Pelodiscus sinensis: one gene and its partner. The protein of the gene in region 1 interacts with the protein of each later gene in a pairwise test. Links are inferred from orthologs where the notes say so. Each region holds a gene or a part of one and is shown on either strand. Other genes may lie near its edges.

The links. The genes of interacting proteins can lie anywhere in the genome.
Region 2: the proteins of PBX3 (region 1) and PKNOX1 interact in a two-hybrid assay, tested with the Homo sapiens proteins (2 studies listed by BioGRID and IntAct). The link is inferred for Pelodiscus sinensis from reciprocal best matches to the Homo sapiens genes PBX3 and PKNOX1.

The regions. Positions count from the first base shown.
Region 1 is NC_134732.1:25,327,655-25,335,297, forward strand, and holds the start of PBX3 (pre-B-cell leukemia transcription factor 3), read left to right. Parts: upstream 1-4,544; 5' UTR 4,545-5,533; coding exon 5,534-5,730; intron 5,731-6,818; coding exon 6,819-6,892; intron 6,893-7,643. UniProt on the Homo sapiens protein: Transcriptional activator that binds the sequence 5'-ATCAATCAA-3'.
Region 2 is NC_134711.1:190,864,938-190,872,807, reverse strand, and holds the start of PKNOX1 (homeobox protein PKNOX1), read right to left. Parts: upstream 3,091-7,870; 5' UTR 2,957-3,090; intron 1-2,956. UniProt on the Homo sapiens protein: Activates transcription in the presence of PBX1A and HOXA1.

The DNA.
Region 1 (7,643 bases):
GCGCCCCATGACCCAAGCCCCAAGGGTGTGGGGGTGGAAGCTGGGTGCCCCATGACCCGAGTCCCAAGGGTGTGGGGGGGGGAGCTGGGCGCCCCATGACCCAAGCCCCAAGGGTGTGGGGGTGGGAGCTGGGAGCCCCATGACCCAAGCCCCAAGGGTGGGGGGGGGAGCTGGGCGCCCCAAGACCCGAGCCCCAAGGATGGAGGCTAGTGGGAGCGTGGCACCCCACGGGCCGAGGTCGGGGGGGGGGGAGGGGGGAACCGGACGGCCCGAGGACGGGGGGGAGGGGGGAGAACCGGGCGCCCCACGGCCCGAGGACGGGGGAAGGGGGGAACCGGGCGCCCCACGGCCCGAGGACGGGGGGGAGGGGGGGAACCGGGCTCCCCACGGCCCGAGAACGGGGGGGAGGGGGGAACCGGGCGCCCCACGGCCCGAGGACGGGGGGGGAGGGGGGGAACCGGGCGCCCCACGGCCCGAGAACGGGGGGGAGGGGGGGAACCGGGCGCCCCACGGCCCGAGAACGGGGGGGAGGGGGGAACCGGGCGCCCCACGGCCCGAGGACGGGGGGGAGGGGGAGAACCGGGCGCCCCACGGCCCGAGGACGGGGGGGAGGGGGGAACCGGGCGCCCCACGGCCCGAGGACGGGGGGAGGGGGGGAACCGGGCGCCCCACGGCCCGAGAACGGGGGGGAGGGGGGGAACCGGGCGCCCCACGGCCCGAGGACGGGGGGGAGGGGGGGAACCGGGCGCCCCACGGCCCGAGGACGGGGGGAGGGGGGGAACCGGGCGCCCCACGGCCCGAGAACGGGGGGGAGGGGGGGAACCGGGCGCCCCACGGCCCGAGGACGGGGGGGAGGGGGGGAACCGGGCGCCCCACGGCCCGAGGACGGGGGGGGAGGGGGGGAACCGGGCGCCCCACGGCCCGAGAACGGGGGGGAGGGGGGGCCCGGGCGCCCCACGGCCCGAGGACGGGGGGGAGGGGGGGCCCGGGCGCCCCACGGCCCGAGGACGGGGGGGAGGGGGGGCCCGGGCGCCCCACGGCCCGAGGACGGGGCACTGGTACGGGCTGCCCGATCCAGTGAGGAGCGAGCCCTCGCCAGGTACTTCACTGTCGCCATGGTAACAGAAGGGGCGGGGCAACAGGGTCCTCGCCCCCTGCCACGTGTCGGTTCGAACACTCCAATCCCAAGTTTGCCGTGAAGGGGCAGCGCTGGAGCGCACAGCGCGTTGGGCCCCGCCCCGCCCCGCCCCGCCCGCTCTGATTGGCGGGTGGGATGGCAGGGCTGCTATCATTGGGCGGAGAAAGCGCGCGTGCTGGAGAGATCCCGCCCCCGAAGGCTCCAAGCTGTCGGGCCTAGCTGCGCGGCTGGGTGACCCCCGGAAGGAGCTGGAGTCCTGCCAAGATGCCTCGACAGAGGCCACGCCCCAAAGGGCGTGGCCTAATAAGGGCGTGGCCTGAGGCCAGGGCAGGGGCGGGGCGTTTGGAAAGGGGCGTGGTGAGGACCGGGTGGGATTTACCTGGGGGTGGGCGGGGCCATGAGGAGAGTGGGCGGGAGGTGAGAGGAGGGGATCCCAGGGGGAGGGGTGGGCAGTTCTGAAGAGGAGGTCAGTGGAAGAGGGCTGTGAAGGTGAGAGGAGGGGGTCAGTGGGGGGCGTGGGGGGGCGGGTGAGAGGAGGGGGTCAGTGGGGGGCGTGGGGGGGCGGGTGAGAGGAGGGGGTCAGTGGGGGGTGTGGGGGCAGGTGAGAGGAGGGGGTCAGTGGGGGGAGTGGGGGCAGGTGAGAGGAGGGGGTCAGTGGGGGGCGTGGGGGGGCGGGTGAGAGGAGGGGGTCAGTGGGGGGCGTGGGGGGGCGGGTGAGAGGAGGGGGTCAGTGGGGGGTGTGGGGGCAGGTGAGAGGAGGGGGTCAGTGCGGGGTGTGGGGGGCGGGTGAGAGGAGGGGGTCAGTGCGGGGTGTGGGGGGCGGGTGAGAGGAGGGGGTCAGTGGGGGGTGTGGGGGGGCGGGTGAGAGGAGGGGGTCAGTGGGGGGTGTGGGGGCAGGTGAGAGGAGGGGGTCAGTGCGGGGTGTGGGGGGCGGGTGAGAGGAGGGGGTCAGTGGGGGGAGTGGGGGCAGGTGAGAGGAGGGGGTCAGTGGAGGGAGTGGGGGCAGGTGAGAGGAGGGGGTCAGTGGAGGTGTGGGGGGCAGGTGAGAGGAGGGGGTCAGTGGAGGTGTGGGGGGCAGGTGAGAGGAGGGGGTCAGTAGGGGTTGTGGGGGTAGGTGAGAAGTGATGGTTGGTGGGGGAAGGGTAGGCAGGTCTGAGGGAGGTGTGGAGGCAGGCGAGTGGAGGGGGTCAGTGCGGGGTGTGGGGGGCGGGTGAGAGGAGGGGGTCAGTGCGGGGTGTGGGGGGCAGGTGAGAGGAGGGGGTCAGTGGAGGGAGTGGGGGCAGGTGAGAGGAGGGGGTCAGTGGGGGGTGTGGGGGGCGGGTGAGAGGAGGGGGTCAGTGGAGGGAGTGGGGGCAGGTGAGAGGAGGGGGTCAGTGCGGGGTGTGGGGGGTGGGTGAGAGGAGGGGGTCAGTGGGGGGAGTGGGGGCAGGTGAGAGGAGGGGGTCAGTGGGGGGTGTGGGGGGCAGGTGAGAGGAGGGGGTCAGTGGAGGTTGTGGGGGGCGGGTGAGAGGAGGGGGTCAGTGGAGGGAGTGGGGGCAGGTGACAGGAGGGGGTCAGAGGAGTGGGGGGGGCAGGTGACAGGAGGGGGTCAGTGGAGGTGTGGGGGGCAGGTGAGAGGAGGGGATCAGTGGAGGTGTGGGGGGCAGGTGAGAGGAGGGGGTCAGTGGGGTGTGTGGGGGGCGGGTGAGAGGAGGGGTTCAGTGGGGGTTATGGGGTCAGGTGAGAGGAGGGAGTCAGAGGGGGGAGTGGTGGGCAGGTGACAGGAGGGGATCAGTGGGGGGGTGGGAGTAGGTGAGAGGTGATGGTTGGTGGGGGGAAGGGTAGGCAGATCTGAGGAGGGGTCAGTGAAGGAATGGTGGGCAGGTGACAGGATGGAGTCAGCGGGGGGATGGGGTGTGGAGGCAGGTGCCAGGAGGGGATCAGTGGGGGGAGTGGAGGGCAGGTGAGAGGAGGGGGTCAGTGGGGGATGTAGGGGCAGGGGACAGGAGAGATTAGAGGGGGGTATGGTGGGGTGACAGGAGGAGGTCAGTGGGGGGAGTGGAGGGCAGTAAGAGGATGGGGTCAGTAGGGGGTGTGGAGGCAGGTGAGAGGAGGGGGTCAGTGTGGGATATGGGGGCAGGTGACAGGACGGGGTCAGTGTGGGATATGGGGGCAGGTGACAGGAGGGGGTCAGTAGGGGTTGTGGGGGTAGGTGAGAAGTGATGGTTGGTGGGGGAAGGGTAGGCAGGTCTGAGGGAGGTGTGGAGGCAGGCGAGTGGAGGGGGTGAGTGCGGGATGTGGGGCAGATGACAGGAGGGAGTCAGTGGAGGTGTGAGGGCAGGTGAGAGGAGGGGTTCAGTGGGGGTTATGGGGGCAGGTGAGAGGAGGGAGTCAGAGGGGGGAGTGCTGGGCAGGTGACAGGAGGGAATTAGTAGGGGGTGGGAGTAGGTGGGAGGTGATGGTTGGTGGGGGGAAGGGTAGGCAGGTCTGAGGGAGGTGTGGGGGCAGGCGAGTGGAGGAGGTCAGTGGGGGGTGTGGGGCAGATGACAGGAGGGAGTCAGTGGAGGTGTGGGGGCAGTTGAGAAGAGGGGTTCAGTTGGGGTGTTAGGCAGGTGACAGGAGGGGATCAGAGGGGGGAGTGGTGGGCAGGTGAGAGGAGGGGGTCAATGGGGGTGTGGGGCAGGTGAGAGGAGGGGGTCAGGGGGGGCGTGAGGCAGGTGAGAGGAGGAGGTCAGGGGGGGTGTGGGGCAGGGGAGAGGGGATCAGTGGGGGGGCAGGTGAGAGGAGGGGGTCGGGGGGGTGTGGGGCAGGGGAGAGGGGATCAGTGGGGGGGCAGGTGAGAGGAGGGGGTCAGTGGGGGTGTGGGGCAGGAGAGAGGGGGTCAGTGGGGGGCAGGGGAGAGGAGGGGGTCAGGGGGGCGTGGGGCAGGTGAGAGGAGGGGGTCAGTGGGAGTGTGGGGCAGGGGAGAGGGGGGTCAGTGGGGGGCAGGGGAGAGGAGAGGGTCAGGGGGCGTGGGGCAAGTGAGAGGAGGGGGTCAGGGGGGTGTGGGGCAGGGGAGAGGGAGTCAGTGGGGGGCAGGGGAGAGGAGGGGGTCAGTGGGGGCGTGGGGTAGGTGAGAGGAGGGGGTCAGGGGGGTGTGGGGCAGGGGAGAGGGGGTCAGTGGGGGGGTAGGTGAGAGGAGGGGGTCAGGGGGGTGTGGGGCAGGGGAGAGGAGGGGCTTGGTGGGGGGAAGGGTAGGCAGGTCTGGGCAGGGGTCAGTGGGGGAGGGGTGTGCAGGTGACAGGCGGGGCAGAGGGGCGGGGCGGGGGCGGGGCTCCGGCTGGGCGCCCGGGTCTCTCCCAGGAGCAGCAGGGGGAGCGCCTCAGCCGAGCTCCCCGCGCGCGCTTGCTCGCGCTCTCCGAAGGGGAGGGGGAAGGGGAGGGCAGGGGGCGTGGCTCCGCCTGGCTCCCACGTCCCCTCGCTCGCGCTCTCTCTCTGCCTCTCTCCTCCTTCACAGGGTGACACGTCTGCAGGGTGAGTGAGTGGCATTGGCAGACTGTCAATCCCTCACCAAAGCGGCCATCAAACAACATAAAACACACACAGTCACTGGGCTGCTGGGCTCATAAATTCCAGCTGGCTGATATTTTTGCACATTGCTTTGCAGAGAGTGTGTAATTAATTTTTTTACAGTTCTTTCCCCTTTATTTCCGCTCTTTTCTTTGCACAAGTTCAAACTTTTGATAGCTGCAATTTTACCCCCATTGTACAGACTTGGGATCATTTGTTATTATTTTTTGGGGGAGGGCAATTAATTTTTTTCATCTGTGTTTGTGTTTTCTTGGGCTTTTTTTAATGTTGCAATTTGGGGATGGGGGTGTTTGCTTGGTTTGTTGTGGTTTTTGCTGTTTGCCACCCTCCTAACTTTTTAAGGATTTGAAAGCAAGTTTTTGTGTGTGTGTTTTTTTTAATTTTGCCTTTTTTTGCGAAGAAGATTATTTTTTGGACAAGTGGAGGAAAGACATAAAAAGCAACAATAAAAATAAAAAAGAAGAGAGGGGGGAAAAAGCTTTGGAGGAAGATTGTACCGAGGGGAGAAAACTGCAAAAAACCTTATCAACTCATTATCCGAGCCAGAAATATCATTGTTATGATGAAAGAAGATTGTAACTAAAGAAGAGAGTGATTTACTGCATTGGAAAGAAGAGCGTGGAATAAACAACTGAGATCCGGTGAAATACTAAATACTGATTTTTTTTGTTAATTTGCGAGAGTAAAATAACAGCAAGCAGGAACTGAAATTGACTACGGGAACCACAGATTTATTCGCATTTTATTTTCTAAGCACAAACCTCCTTCCTCTGATTGTGAGGCTCTTTTTGCCGTTTCTCCTGCTGCTATCTCTGAAAGTGCATTGATTGGGCTGCGGTAGGAGGTATGGATGATCAGTCCAGGATGTTGCAGACTCTGGCCGGTGTGAACCTGGCTGGCCACTCGGTGCAGGGGGGGATGGCTCTGCCTCCTCCCCATGGACATGAAGGGGCAGACGGCGACGGCAGAAAGCAGGACATCGGAGACATCCTCCATCAGATCATGACCATCACTGACCAAAGCCTGGATGAGGCACAAGCAAAGTTGGTTTCGTCTAATTAAACCTTGTCTTTTTGTGTGTGTGGTTTTTGTTTCTCTCCCTCCTGCTTCTCTGCAGAGACCAGGAGTCTCACAATTAGAACAACTTCTTAATACAGTAGGAGAAATTTCAAGCAGCAAAGGCAAAAATCAAAGTTGCTGTTAATTATTTGTAAAATATAAATATGTGATGCTTGTACCATTTTTTTCTGTTCCATTTTATTTGCACCTATGCGTGGAATGCATGTAGTCCCATTTTCATTTCCATCTCTATAGACACTATCTGGTTGACACTCATTTAAAAATCGCCATCCCGCAATATTTGCTCTTCGGGAGACTTTTGATTTCTTGTTCAGAAGTGTAACTTTTTTTCTTTCCTTCTCTCCTGCCCCTGAAGTGGTGGCAGATGAATTACAAAGCTGACAAGATATTGCTTCAGGGAGAAATCCCTCCGTGTTTGAAATCACAGTAAATACAAAACAAAGAATGTGAACTCTGGAAGTTACCCTTTTAGCAAATCCGCTCTAATGTAGAGGAATGGAAAGCAGTCGAGATCGCTGTATACATCAAAGCCTGGTCTATCAGGGAAATTACATACAGCGAATTTGACTTAAACAGGTGGAAAAAAAACCCCTTGTAACATGGCTTTAAAACCAAACTTCTGCGAGCGTCTCAAGTCTGCAAAGTGGTAGGCAGGCGGGGGCTCCCTGGATTCTGACTTGTCACCACAAGTCCCTGCTTTGGTGACAAATGAGAGAAGGCATTTGAAACACCCTTTTATTTGCTCCTCTTGTCCCTGAATTTAAATCTCCTCACATTGCTTCTTAATGTTTGCTACTTTGCACACAGTATGATTAGGTTGTCTGGTCGCCTATAGGGCAAATATGTGCTTCCCCTCCTCCCCCTCACAGCCAAAAAGCTGTAGCCAAAGATTCCTTGTCACTTGTCATTAACTTTACTTCCTATTACTTTGCATGGAATAGCTGAACAGTACAATGCAGGGGCACAACTAAATCATTTTATTGTGGAAAGGCGCCATATTATCAAATAGCTTCTGCTAATGCATTTGTTGTTTTCCCACCCTCTTTTCCAGAAAGCATGCACTGAACTGCCACAGAATGAAGCCTGCTCTATTCAGTGTCCTGTGCGAAATCAAAGAGAAAACAGGTAAGAGGCCAGGAGGAGCAGGGTTTTCAATTGCACCCCACACAGGTCAGCATTGCAATACTTCTCAATTCTGCAAGCCTGGGAGCTGATGTGGGCACCGCAGCCATCTTTGATCCTTGCTTCCTTGCCTGCTTCTGATCTTGGGGAGGGGAGGGGGGAGAATGCAATAAATCTGGAGCAAATTTTACAATTCATAATCCCGATGTAAAATGAAATGTAGATGAAAATGATCGTGTGTCACCGTCCGCAGAGTAAATTCCCCCTCTGGCTGCAATCAGGGAAGCAACACGGAGCAAACCAGGCTGTCTCCCCCTCTCTCTGCCTTGTTTGTATGTCAGTTTCTTAAAGGAGCAATGTGAGATTGGAGAAGCCAATTGCAGCGTAGGAACCGCACAGCCGGCAACTTTGTTTGACTCGGGTCACCTCATTGTTTATCTGTGCAATTAGCAGAATATATGTTATTGGACGCATTCAGTTGACAGATCCAAACTAGTACACTATATGTGGGAAATTAACTGTAGGCTTAAGAAATGCTCAAAGAGGGGTGTGTATAATATGTGTATAAATATGTCCACACATGTTCAGATACATACGGATATACCTTGTATAGAATACGTTTATCTTATGTACATTTACGTTCAGAGGGTCATTTATGTACATTAATATTTCTGTAGATATTGCTATTCATATCTATATATCTATAGACAAAAATGATGGCAACCCCCCTGAAGTTTTCAAAAAAAGTATTTAA
Region 2 (7,870 bases), on another chromosome or scaffold:
AACAATATGCTGTATAAAACTTGGTTCTTGCACAATAGTTTGTTTTTCCCCCAAAAGAGAAAAACACACAGCAACTAAAACTAGCAAAAGACACCCTGTTTGTTAGAATCTGATTTAACATGTGTTTCTAATGTACCCCACACTTTTTATTGATTTAAATGGGAGTATGCAAGGTCAGAACTTTATTTTTAAATATGGTATTTTTAACACAGATCACCTTAAAGGAGTACCTAAACATCTACAACTATATTTGACACGGAAAGTAAAAATCAAAAATTTAAGCTTTTTACTACAAAGAAAATGCATGTAAGCCAACAATTTAATGCAAAGTTGGACTTTCCAAAGTGTGGGTCATGATTTCCATTGTAACACTACACAGAGCTCTTAATCTTCCATAAAGCATACAGCAAATGGTAACTAGATACTTTTCTAGTCCAGCAGAGCACTTAAAGCAAGTGAGTTATAAATAAGTAAATATCTGTTTCTCAGATGAAAGGAGACAGGTATAATTAATCCCATGTTACAAATAGAGAAATAGGTGAATTAACTTCCCGAAAGTCACACAGTGATCCCCAGGAAGAGAACTGCAGGTTTCCTGACTTCTACTCCAGTATTAGAGCATCTATGCCACACTGCCAGTAAAGTCAATGAAACTATTTGCATGTTTAAAGTATGGTCTTAAGAGATTTAAAAAATTAAGTCTTAAATTAAGAACTTGGAATGATATTTATATTTTGATGCTGACATTTGTGCCCTTTATTATAAATCAAGGCAGGTTAATATCTAAAATTGAAGATATTCATAGTAATAGACTAAAGATAAAGAAGCACCAATGTTAGCTATAGTAAAAAGAAAATAAACTCAGAAGACACACTATTCTATTTCACTAAAAAATGTGATTATCTGTCTCATTTCTCAGATATTTTCAATAATTTAAGACCATTCATTATAACTTTTTGTACTCACTAATTTATACACTTTCAAGTTTTCTGCAATTTTTGGCAGCAGTATTAGGAAAATGTCAAAAATATAATTTTATTATCTGCTACCCTGGAGATTGTGGGTTTGGATCAAGAAATTTCTGATGCTCCAACAGTCATTAGTTTTCTGTCCTGCAATATAACCTGAGATTAAAGTATGCTACATGCACAATTAACATTTTTTAAATACATTTTAAACCTCGTCTGTACACAAGTTGTATCACTTTGACTATCCACGTACACAACACTGCATGTGGACCCAGTTAAGCTATGCCAGTGTACTATTCAATAGAACTATTCTCATATAGGTATTATTTCCAAACTTTTTATTTTTATATATATATATATATATATATATATATATATATATATATATATATATATATATAGGTAGAACTGCGGGTCTATTGTTAGAACTCCTTCACATTAAAACACAAAACAAACCTTAATAATACCAGAATACCAGTTTGGTTTTGTACAGACCCAACCTTGAAAATGAAAGCATAACAAACTGTAGACTGAGTGAGCTATAACTAGAGATCAGTGTACAAGAGGGGTTTTTTTTTTTTTAAATAAATGGGATATTTTAAATTAGATCATCCTTTTACAAAAGTGAAACTGGACTTCCAAAAACAAAGATACCCTGTAAAAATGCTAATTGAGAGACTATTTCAAACAGGGTACCTTTATTATTACCGTGTATATGTAGTAAAATAGTGGCCAAACACCCCCTTCATGTTTTGGGGCTGAATTGTCAGAGGCTGTGCAAATATGTAGGAAGCCATGCTCCATGTCTCAAATTACTTATAATATAAACAGAAAGAAGCTGCCACAAAAATAACATAAGGCAGAATGGGAAGGAGAGAAAGTGTAGGCCTAATAAAACCAACCACTACCTAACTTAGCTATAAGCACAACTTGTAATTTCAGAGCCATTTCAAATACAGCATTCCCAGCCACTATTTAAGATAACCATCATTAACTGGCAGAGTTCTTGTGGGTGTCAAGGCAAAAGAGGAATTCAAGATGGGATTTGTGAACTATGCAGTTGGCGTCTTTGTTGATTTACATGGGCGCCTAATGACTCATTTCTGTCCATCTGTATATCGCTCAAGTGTTGAGAGTGTAAGCTCCTTGGGGCAGGCACCATGTCCGCTTTTCTATCCCGCCCAGCGAGAGGCAAGCTCGTTGCTGATGGCGGCTTGCGCTACAGAGCAAGACAAACCCCACGATCCTGCGCGCGGGGAGGGGGAGGGGGCTCTTTGGCCTGACCCTCCGTAACGCAACTTCGGCCAGGGGCCGAGCAAGCGGCAAACGTTGCGGCATTAGAGCGCGCGGCAGGCGGCGCCCGATGCAGCCCGCTACGGGGTGTCGGTCGCTGCGGGGCGGTTGGCTCGGCAGGGAGGCGGCTCCCGAGGCGCCGGGGGAGCTCCCCTCCCGGGCCGGGGCACGCGGCGAGCAGAGGCAGGCAGCTGCTGTCTTAGCTCAGCCAGACACGGCTGCGGGCCAGGCTGGGCCACAGCGACCGCACCCGCCTCCCAGCCCGGGGGGAGGGGGACACAGAGCAGCGCCCCCGCCAGCCTTGGCCCGACTCTATCGGAATCTTCGCCAAGGCCCTTTAAATACTCCCCCCCCCCGCCCGAACAGCTGCTACCCGTCCCCCTCCCGTCGCGCCGCCTCCCTCTCGGCGCGCGCCGCCTCCCGCCCGCTCCCACAAAGGCAACGGTTAGTCGGCGGCTGTTCCAGAAATTTCCTCGCTCCCCCCTCCCTTCCCCGCGCCTGCCCGCCGCCGCCCCTATCCACCCCCCCGGGTTGGGTATAGCGCGGGTGCCTCCCTCCCCGCTGCTCCGTGTGGCGGGCTCTCGCTCCCCCCGCCATCCCCGGTCTGCCTGTGTGTCTGGGCCCGGCCGGCCGGCGGCGGCGGGCGCGCCGTGATGGATGGCTGGCTGGGAGCGGGTTTGAGTGACAGCGCTTACCTGGGTGCCAATCTTCGTCACACTGACAAGCGGCTGCAGCAATCGGGACCCGCACCGCCGCGACACGCGTCACTACGCACACACGCACCCGGCCAATCACCGCCCGCGCCACACAATACGACAGCACGCTGCGCAGCACGCCTCATGAATATTCACAAAAGAGGCGGGGCGCGCGCCGGCGCAGGACACTCCCGCCCTGACGCTCGCCCTAAGGGGGCGGTGCGGTGCGTCGCATCTTGATGAATATTCATAAGGGGCGGGGCGGACGCGTTGTTTGTCACGCCCCTTTGCCCGCCTTTCTGTTTGGTCGGGGTGAGAGGAAGAGGGAGGTGAAACCAACTCCCAAGGGCAGCGGGGGAACGAAGATACCAACTAGGGGCGAGGGGGAGGGGACAGAGCCTGGCTGTCCCTTATAGTTCTGCCCTGAGCTGCGGAGGGAGACCTGGCACATGCGCCACCTGCTCTGCTGCCCGGCTGCCAGGGGGCCCCTCCCTCCAGCCCCTGGCAGCTACGGTGTTCCCAGGCCACCGTGTGTGTGGCTTTGTCACCCCCTGCGTCCCAGTCGCTGCCTTGAGCCCACCATGCGAAGCCCCGTGGTGCTCGCCCCACCCCGACTAGCCAGGGATGCAAATAAAGGCAGAGGCAAAGAGGCACAAGCAGGGCATGTCTAAGCAGTGGGTGTTACACAACCCCCCTGCAGGCAGGCCGGGGGAAAGTCCCTGCCAGCTGAGCTAGTGACATTGGCATCAGGTAAATGAGTGTCTATGCAATACACAGGCCTGACCCATAGTCCTTCAGTGCAATCCACTTCTCCCCACCTGTCAAAGTTTTGTTTTGTCCTAACCTGCTACCAATGGCCCCAAGTTGGTCTAGGTTGAATATTAGAAAAAACTATTTCACTAGGAGGGTGGTGAAGTACTGGAATGGGTTCCCTAGGGAGGTGGTGGAATCTCTACCCCTAGACGTTTGTAAGTCTCGACTTGGCAAAGCCCTGAGTTGGTTGATTTAGTTGGGATTGGTCATGGCTTGGGCAGGGGATGGACTTTCTAACCTCCTGAGGTTTTAGCTCTATGATTCTAAGGCCATCCCCACAGAGGTGCTCCCCATGGCTCTGCCCAGGCCCTGCCCCGACCACCCCACCCACAACTGTTTTTTGTCCATGTAGGAAGTATTTAAATTACATCTCCACAGCTGCAGCACCTTTGCTGTCCTAATGTGGCATAGATAATGCCCCAAGTGAACTCCCTGTCTTGACGCTTCTCTATAGCAGTGGTCTCCAAACTTTTTTGATCGCGCAATCCTATCAGTAAAAAAAATTTTGAGCATACATCCCCAATATATGTATATTTATTTATAATTTTTTTAAAAATGTACTCTTTGACCCCCCATTAGCCACACACCTGACCCCTGTTAACCATGCCTCTGGCTCCCATTAGAAGGCCTCAGGAGGTCTGAGGGACACATGACCAGAAGTAAAAGGTGTCATGTGACCCCTCTCTAAGGACTTTTCCCACCATCCTCCTACCAATAGGGATTACTTTGGCTCCCACCAAACTCCCCTCATGCAAGTATCCTCGGAGGTGGAGGGGGCAGAGAGGCTGGGGGAAGTGTCCCCTCAGAGTTTCCTTCCATGAACAGAATGAATTTTGTGTTGTGCACCAGTACTGAGTTCATGTGGCTTGTTTGGATGTGCCACTGTGGCATCCAAGTTATTAATACATATCATATAAACCTCTACCTTTTCCCTCTGCTGTCATGTCTCCTCCCCTTGCTCCATCAGCTCCCCTAATGCCCCCTCACCCTACTCTACTGTCCTGACTCCTGCCCTTCTCGCTACCCTCAGCCCTCCTGTGACCTGCCCCCCCTCCACCAGCCCTTCTCTCTGCCCTGTGCCCCACTCTGATCAAGTGAGCTACCTCCCTCTACACACCTGCCCTGCCTCTCTCTGGTGCTGGCCTTGTCCCTCCCCTGCAAGTGTCTGCCCTTCTGCTTCACCCCTAGAATCCCCTGGCACCTGCACCCTCCTGGTGCATCCCTCTTCCCTCACTGCCCCTGCCCCCTTTGCCTTCTTTTTCCGTGATGCCCATCCCCTCACCACCCTCTGCCCGTTCGCCTCATGCCCCTGTGCCCTCACACATGCCTTGCTCCATCCCCACCTTCCTCATGCCCACCCCTTCTTTCAAGCCTTCTCCCAGCACCTCCCTCTCCCCCCTCTAGCTCCCAATGCCCTTACCCTCCCCCCTCCCACTGACACCTCCCCTCCTGCCCTCTTTTTCATTGTCTCCACTTGGCCCCCTGGAAATTGTCTCTCCTCCACGCTGTCCCTTGGTGCATTCCCCTTTCTTCTCCTGACCTGCCCCCCTCCCCTCAGCACAAGCCCCTTCGTCTCCCACCCCTTTTCCCTATTTTTCCCCACACCCCCACCTTCTGCTTTTCAGTTTGAGTCTGATCGGGCCAAGCCCCAGCTGCTTCCGTGGCCCCAGACCACGTGCCGGGCCTGGAGCTGGGCCGTGCAGTTTTAAAGTCCCGGGCTGTGATATCACGACACGCCCAGGCGTGTCCCCTCAGCTGTTGCACGGGCGTTTGAACACACCATGCATGCGCTCCCTCAGATGTCTTGCAAACCAGGCGTCTCCCCTCTCAGCTGTTGCGCGGTGGCATGCGCTCCCTCGGATTGTCTCGCACACCCCCTGGGGTGCGTGCATCCCATTTTGGAGACCACTGCTCTATAGATTCAGATCCATGTGAAGTTAGAGGCTCTGAATGTGAAAGAATTAACAAACCTGGCAGAAACAGTAAGGAAGAATTAGTATTGGTAGCCCCAACTGTTCAAATATCATGAGTCAGGTAACCACACTAATAATATTGTCTAAAATGATAAGTTTTTATTAAGTAGTAGTAATACATTTTTATTTCTTTTGTTTGCCTTCTTACCTTTGAGCCTTTAGGATTCATGTCAAGCTTTACTCTGTAATCACTGGTGGCCTAGAAACTTGCTCTTTTTAAATGAAAGCTGACTCCACAAGATAAAGCTTTTAAAAAACCACCAAAATACCAAGAGCTTTGCATTAAAATTGCAAGGAGTGACAACAGTTAGAAGGAACAGAGGAGAAAACAAGGAAAAATAATAGAAAAATGTAGAAAATTAATTAGAGGAAAGATACACTTTTTTCGAGTGTCACCCCTAGCTGCCAAGCCTTCATGCTCCTCCTTCCCAGCACTACAAAGGATCCAGGACAGGGAGAATTATACAGAGGAGACCCACAATGAGGGGGCTCGGTGGACTGCTTTTGCACCCTGTATAGTTTCATAACTATGTGAGCACACAGTATAAACCAATGGTGAGATCTGATATGCAAGACTCCTCTTTTGACTTACAAAACATGCAAAGTGAATACAAACCTTTTTTGAATAAAATAGCTGTCAGTCCAGGGCAACAGCACCTGTACTCCCCGTCCTTGGCACCAGGCTCCACAGCTGTCAATTCTCTTGGGTGAAAACTGCATTCTCTCTCCCATCTGACTCTGACATTTCCAGGCTGAACAATTGCCTACCTCCACTGTGTTAATACCCCAAAAGATAGACTGCCTAAGTAGGCATGCATCTCTGCTCAGAGACAGCAACAGTATAGTTACTCACAATTAGAAGTTACCACACAGTTCTAAGTGAGCACATTTATTTATTTTTAGACTAAAAGCACTACAGACAGTCTATTAAGAACAATAAAAGAACCTACACTTATGCTAGTAAACTTACCAGAAATTGCTCCAACCCCAGCAGGCTGGCCTGTGACTGGTGATTAGTCCTTCAAACCCTACCAGTTGGTAACAGCTTTCTCTCAGATCTAGCTTGTATATCTAATAGGGCCTCAGTGGGCCAAAGACTTTCCAACCCTTTCCTAAAAATTAGGGCCCTGTGATAGGGCATCTGCCCTGCACTGGCCCTTAAAGGGCAAAACCCAGCCCTAAGCCAGGGCTGAGAGTGAAGCCCTAGCTGAGGTAGTTATTGCTAATTAGAGCTATAAAGAAGGGATCCTGGAAGGAGAAAGGAGGACTTACTTATGTTAACTCTGGCTAGAGTGACCTGGCTGCCTGGGAAGCAGGAGGCTTCCTGGAGATATACCAGTGCTGGGGAAAGAAGGCAGAGCAGGGGAAGCTCTGGTGTGGCAAGCTCCTAGGCTGCAGGGCCTGAGGCTAGACCGGAGTGCAGGAAGGCTGCAGAGAGCCAGCTAAGGTAGGCAAAGGCAGCAGGTCCCTGGAGTGCAGAGATTGATAACCACCCCGCTGCTCCCCAGAAGGGAGTTGAGAGCCAATGGACTGGGTATGTCTGGAGGGCATTGTCCTGAAGAAGACACTGCAGTCCAAGACTGTTGCGGGTTGGGCCTGGAGAGTGAAGCGATGACACGGGGAGGCAGACAAAAGCTAATCCCCAGTGCCACAGCAGTGAGGCCACGCTGTAACAGGCTCCACTTGAAACAGAAGTTCTATCTGTTTGCTGGATCAGAGTGAATAACCCAAGTCACTTTAGCTCAGGCTATGTAACCAAAAATCCTTTTTCTCTGTGTGTTGGAAAGTTCCAGAGAATTCAGTTTGAATCAGTATATGCAAGTCTCTTTCCAGGCAGGAGCAGCTCTCTAGAGTTTTTACAAGCTGAATTAATAATGCCTGCCCTCTTTCTCTCTCACCCCCACTGTGCTTAGTTCCTGGAATACTGTGGTCCCCATGCGTCCCTACAGAAATATATACAATCTCTTAATAGTGAATACATTTTTGCATTTTTAATCCAATGAACTGTTAACATACCTAAACTTAATTCAATAAAGTTTGCCCAAGATATTGCAGGATATTGTCACAGCTGCCATAGTGTTTAATGCTTGCAATTACAATTTGCAGAAAGCTTAACATTACTGGCAAT